Drosophila melanogaster: one gene and its partner. The protein of the gene in region 2 purifies or fractionates together with the protein of the main gene of each other region. This does not show direct contact. Each region holds a gene or a part of one and is shown on either strand. Other genes may lie near its edges. The genes, in order: CG30458 and Polr2H.

Region 1 (3,109 bases), on a different chromosome or scaffold from region 2:
AATCACGGTGAATATGTTAAAGAGTATGCATACCAAGTACTGAAGAATGTTCCAGGAATGCTGATTTTTCAGGGCAGTAACTTCAAAGCCACAAATCAGGTACAAATCATAGACCATTACGCAGAACAGATAAAAGCAATATACTTCAGCGTAAAACAGGAAGAGTATGAAGTACTTGAAGTTGTGAAAGTGCACGCAGTTCACTATCCAAGGACAGTGGTGGTCCATTTTCAGGACGCACATGTGGCAGGTTCGACAGTGATGAGCTCTATCCGGCTTAATAATCCAGCAAGTCTTGCAATATCTCACTAGTCCATCGATGGTGCACGTGGCAATGGGTAAATTTCTAGCTGCATAATTTAAGACTCGAGATGCTCCCTCTATTCCATCGTTTCGCTTCAATTTGTCGACATCCTCGGGTGATATTTTCCATTGATCGGGAATCCTAACTGGAGCTACGAAAATGCACCGAAACCATGTCCATAGAAACATGAACAACAGTAGATGGTAGAAAAAGAGCAACAGTCCAATGGTCAAGTAGTCCGAAACTTTCTTTATGCAGATTTGGTAAACAAATACGTGGTAGGACCATACCAAAAAGCCCAGAATTATTAGAGCAGGAAGCCATCTGACCGCGCAACAGGGCACTCTTCTATGGCCTTCCCCAATCGGGCACATTCTGGAAGGGATCCTCCACGTCCGGTGAGAGTCGTGTTTTGATTTCTTTGCGGGAACATGTTGCATAACTTGTATTTTTGAGCCCTTTTTGTCAGCCTACTGTCTTTTGATTTATACGTAATAGAGACTGTTGTGCTTTTTGATTATTTATTTACTCTTCACATCCATCTTTAAAGAAAACATTAACTGATACCTGGGCAAGGTGAACATTGCCTGGGGCCTATCACATTAGTCAACAATTGGGGGACACAGACTTAGTTGCGGTGACGGAAGACGCGGCGACGGACGGTCTTGTAGCGGTAGCCGTCCTGGGCTGGCTGCTCGATCTCCTCGATGATGGGCTCCTCGGCCTGGACAGGAGCGGGTGGGATGTAGGCGGGGGCTGGGGCTGCGGGAGGGATGTAGGTCTCCACGGGAGCAACTGGAGCCGGTGCTGGAGGGATGTAGGTGTTCTTTGGCGCCGGTGGTGGTGGTGGTGGTGGGGGTGGGATGTAGGCCTTGGCAGGAGCAGCCGGGGGAGGAATGTAGGTGTTCTTGGGTGCTGGTGGGGGTGGTGGTGGCGGTGGGGGAATGTAGCTCTTCACAGGCGCCGGTGGAGCGGGCTGGGGGTAATCGTATCCTCCGGCAGCCGGCTCGGAAACATCAGCGTAGGCGCAGGCCAAGAAGGCGACGGCAATGATAAGGAATTTCTAGGATGGAAATACATATGGTTTAGATATTTTTTTCAATCAAATTTTAGCATATATATTTTGCCGATTATCCTTTAGGTAGTGTAATCCCTGAACTTACCATCTTGAGGAGATGGGCTTGTTGCTGCTTGGATCACAAGTTGATTTGTGCTGCTGAACTCGAAGTGTGACTACGGTTTTTATAGCTCATTGTTTTTTGGGGCTGCGGGTCAACCGGAGCCAAATTAATTGCATGATGCCCCCATGATACATGGGGGTCTTCACCTCACTCAAAAAAGTCGGAAGACAAGCGATACCGAACACACGACAACGAGCCTCCAATGCCAAGGCGGTTTGACGGGTTTTCTGGTTTCGTTTCGTTTCGTTTGGCTTTGGTTTCAGGTTTTGGTATCCAAAATCGCATTATCGCTGCTTTGACTTGGGCCAACTTTTTGTCTTCAGTCCTCAGATACTGCAAAAGCTTCTTTAATTAGATCAAACAAACCTATTGTTGCACGCTGTATAATGGTTTAATTTGTTTTTTAGCCATTATGTTTTTATTTTGATGAATGGTCGTGGGCCACACGCAAGATTGGCTTGGGTTTATGTTTTAATAATTATTTTATTTCTTTTGGATTATTTTTTTCGTTTTCAATTCCCTTGTTTCTGCTTTTTGAGCTGGGCGAAATATTAGCCTGGGGCCGGGCCTATGGAGTCGTTTCAAGTTTATGCCAAAATTAATTTCAATTTGTTTAGATTATGTTGATCTTGAAAATGTCTGGCGAAGCTTAATTAATTACTCAGGTCCGGATACTGACTCTGACTTTTTCGAACACCTGGCTAATAAAATAGTTTATAGTATTTCTACGTCGCATCATTTGGCTGGCAGACGTTGAACACGTTTTCGGTGGGTGCAAATAAGTAGTAAAAGATGTGCTCGCCAAAAAGATTGAAATGTATCTAAAAAAAAGTGGTTGGATATGTGTTTTGATTTCTAGTTTAATTATATTTATTTACTTTTTTTTTACATTGTACGCCTATTATTTTATTCTTTAGAATATGCATCACAGTTTTGGATATTATATGTCTGGTAATCGAGCACATTTCTATCTTCATCTTTAGAGTACCTATAAAGGTTATTCTAAACTGCTATACAGAAAAAATAAAGGATAAGGAATTGTTTTTATACAAATTGTTAAATTATAAGACAAACACAGTGAAAGTTTAGATAGTAACTTTTTTTTATTTTATTTAATAATTTTTCTCCTGGCGGAGATCATCGATGGAGTAGCTCTCTAGTAACGGCGACGGATCACACGGCGGACGGTCTTGTAACGGTAGCCATCGGCGGACACGGGCTCGATCTCCTCCAGAACGGGCTGAGGAGCCAGGACGGGAACGGGAGCGGGAGCTGGGGCGACCTTGACGGGCAGAGGAGCTGGGGCTGGGATGCTCACGGGTGCGGGGGGAATGTAGGTGTTCACGGGTGCGGGAGCAACCTTGATGGGAGCTGGAGCAGGGATGGCAACTGGAGCGGGAGCTGGGGCGGGAATCTCAACCTGAACGGGTGCGGGGGGAATGTAGGTGTTCACTGGAGCGGGGGCAACCTTGATGGGAGCAGGAGCGGGAATGGCCACTGGAGCGGGTGCTGGAGCGGGAACTTCAATCTGGACGGGAGCTGGTGCGGGTGCGGGGGGAATGTAGGTGTTCACGGGAGCGGGCGCAACCTTGATGGGAGCGGGCGCGGCCACGGGCAATGGAGC
Region 2 (3,458 bases):
GCAGTTCATGTCAGCACACCACAATGTCCGGTTATCCAAGTGCTTCTCTGGTCACCTTTGCGCTTTGTTCCATTCTTTGCCTGAATGGAATTGAAGGCAGTCATCTGAGGTTCCCAGGACCCGCGGCGGGAAGGTTTCTGCAAAGACAGGAACAAGCCCCATATCCACCAGCAGGCCTGGTCCCCGATCCGCCATTCGACCTGCCAACGGAGGAGGCGGTTGAATTTCCTCAACCGGAGGATACATATGGCCCTCCACCTGAAACATACGGACCACCGTCTTTGGTGGAAGCGCCAGCTGAGGTCTACGGCCCACCGGACCAAATTTATGGACCTCCCGATCAGACCTACGGACCTCCAGACCAGCCAGCCAATGATGACAGCTCCAACACATTGCCACAAAGCGCAGCTATAATTAATTTGGCAAGTCTGCCGCTACCACCCCAGGCTCAGTATGTTCTGCCGCTTCTGAACCGACTTTCTGCCTTCCGCCCGCAGCGTCCGGTTCTGCGGACTCCGCAGCGACGGCCGGCTAAGCTTACGGTTCGTCGTCGGCCAGATGCGGTCAAGATTGTGAATGCTATTAGGCCTACTCCAGTGTTCCCATCGACTCCGCAGGCTTTGCCCTTCGTGGATCGCCACATTCCTTTTCGCCCACGGCCATCTCGCCTGATAGTCAATGCGCCTTTCAGACGCCCATCCAGGCAATAGACTACTTCTTTCAGCACTCCAAGCAATGTCATGAATACACTGTAAATAAAGTTTGTTGTCTATGTCTAATTTGCGATCGAAAATAATTAGGTAGAAAATTCAGAAGGCCAGCCGCTTCATCAGCAGGTACATGTGCTGGTCCACCTCGAAGCCATGAAGATTGTTGGCGTCACCCTGAAGTCGCATCAGCAAGCCGCCGAATGACACGTAGGCGGAGAGCCGGGAGGCCTCATTGTGTGCTTCGTCGCCCTCGATCCTGTAGATCTTGCCGTACATCACGTACTCAAAGCTGTCCGCCCGCGTTCCCTCGTGCTCCATTGGATTGTACTCCCCGCTGTCCGGGCAACCATCCTCGCGCAGGGTGGTGGCCAAAACCAGGCGGAACTTGTCGCCCAGCTCCATGGGGTATAGCCACGAGTTGATGTCCAGGATGAGGTCCATCTTAAACGACTCGGACTCGCAGTGCAGGCGGGATACACGGTCGAACTTTTTGCCCTCCGGATCCATGTCCTTTACGTTGAAGATGTCCTCAAAGAGTACTCCAGCCATTTTAACTGAAATGTAGTATTTGATGAGTTATTGCTTTGAAGTCAGTTTAGTGGAGCTCCAAAAACGCACGCCTTACCTTGAGTCGGCTAATTAGATTTTATACGTATTTGATCTTATATGCGGAGGTAAATGCGTGTTCTTTTATGAACTGGGTTTATATCAGCAGAATTTTATTATATTTAAACTGTTAGCGACTAATATTTATTTCTTAAATATTTTGCATGCGCGTGTTAAGTATGAGAGATGCCAGATCTTTCTGGCGGCTTGAGTGTTGCCACACGTCTGCGATTTCAGTGAGCAAAGTGGTCACGTTCAGCAGGCTGTGATTTCAGTGTGTAAAAGAAGTCACGTTCAACAAAGTGTGCCTCACTTTGTTCTTACTGAAATTTCAATAAATATTGCAGTGATACTGCGCAATGTGATTTTTAACTTATTTATAACTTATTGCGCCGCAACCTACACGTTATTGGATTTTCTCTAACTAGTGACTGTGCATCACGCTCCCATCTGTGGCCGCGCAGACAGAGAGTCCCAGTGTGACCGTCTATCGGTGAATACACATCACTAACATTAAGAACAACATCGAAAAACCACCGAAAACTGTTATTTATTTTGCTGGACAAAACGCAGTATTGGCTTAGAATCGGCAAACCCGCAAAGTCCCACAAAGGTTAAGCCGCAGGCAGCACGATGGATACACCTTGAGGAGCCAGTCGGACTGCCACCTAGCGGATTGCAAAAAGTATGTACACACAGCTCGTGGTGTCGAAATTAAAAACAAATAAGAAGCGAACTCATAGTCGGACGCGGAATGCATAGGAAGTCCAGGTGTGTCCCATTCGGGGTGATGCTAAGTTTCCTGTGGATCGAAGGCCCTTAGCCTAGCGACTCCTGCTTTTTGCGAAGGTAAGTCCACGCCCGGTGGGGCTTTGGTGTTGGTGTTGAATGTGGAGCCCCTGGGCCAAATGTGTAGCATATGTGTATAATGGATTGCTTTACGTATATGAGTGCTGTGGTGCTGGTTCATTAATTACTAACAATCGGTTGCAAGACCCCGAAAACTACACAGTCGTCGAGTTTTGTGCCCCGAATACGAAAGACTTCAACGGCCCCTACCCTCATCCAGCGACCGCCGCCGCCTTAACCCTTACCCACCCCCATAACCCCGCCTATTTAGCATTACAAAACTGCTGTTATGTATTCACTTCTTTATTTTCGCTTTTTGTGTGTGATTTTCGCTGTCGTTCGTGCTTTTTGCCCTGTTCTCTTTCAATTTCGATTCCCAGCTGCGGATTCTAGCTTAAATTCGCTTTTTCAACAGTTTGGTCGAGGGCCGTTGTGCTGCTAAAGTGAGTTAGTTTTCAGCTTCTGCGGGTGCGGCTCTAATGAACCATTAACCCTCCGCAGGGGGAGGGGGTTGCTTGGCACTGGAATCGGAATCGGAGGGTTCCCAATCTGCTTGCCAGATGTTCGTCCCAGCCCAGGGTCATCGTAATCGCTCTCTTGCAGTTGCATTTTCAGTGTTCTCGCTTTTCATTGGAAACTCCGCCGCCTCGGAGAACAGACGCCGCGGGATCGAAAACGCTCAGGTTGCACAGCTTTATCTCGATATCTTTTTATAGCTCTACCGTGATTTTAGTGAAAGCGGTGGATTGCTTATCAGTTGTTGCCTTCCTCGGGATCTTATCAGGCGGTTTCTCCATCTCGCTCCCGCCCAAACAAAAGATTAAGACAACAAACTAAGAATTTTTTTTGGAAGCTTACGTTCGCTGGAAATGTCAATTGATAATGCGACCCACTTCAAGACTTGGGCTCCTAGCTCTGTACACCGTGAAAAACAGTCCACAACCTTCCGTTGTTAACTAGATTTGTAAAGAAACGAATATATTTTCTAATTGGATAGCCAATGAATTGCAATTAATTAATTAATTATGATAAACAACGTCTAAAAATCTCAAGTGATTTCGACAACACTGCAAAAATAGTAAGAACTATTGCATTAACGTAAAAAGTGCCATGCTTTTCGAAGCCCCTAAATATGCAAATCCACCAATTTTGGTAATATTTTTCCTGTGCATAGGTCTTATCACTGTTGACACAGCTGGAGTTTCTGTTCCGTTGCTGTTTCTCTTCTTGTTTCTGTTTCGGCTTCACTTGCGGTTACTATTTCTGTCTGTGTTTTTGATTCTCCGTCTGCTT

The links.
Region 1: the proteins of Polr2H (region 2) and CG30458 purify together in Drosophila melanogaster (affinity purification with mass spectrometry, with the first as the bait; one large-scale study listed by BioGRID). This does not show direct contact.

The regions. Positions count from the first base shown.
Region 1 is NT_033778.4:17,157,513-17,160,621, forward strand, and holds CG30458 (uncharacterized protein), read right to left. Parts: upstream 1,527-3,109; 5' UTR 1,471-1,526; coding exon 1,468-1,470; intron 1,368-1,467; coding exon 933-1,367; 3' UTR 813-932; downstream 1-812. Other genes in the region: CG17287 (uncharacterized protein), read right to left, coding at 1-678; CG30457 (uncharacterized protein), read right to left, coding at 2,642-3,109.
Region 2 is NT_037436.4:21,726,994-21,730,451, reverse strand, and holds Polr2H (RNA polymerase II, I and III subunit H), read right to left. Parts: upstream 1,521-3,458; 5' UTR 1,336-1,520; intron 1,265-1,335; 5' UTR 1,260-1,264; coding exon 810-1,259; 3' UTR 758-809; downstream 1-757. Other genes in the region: CG14570 (uncharacterized protein), read left to right, coding at 24-710.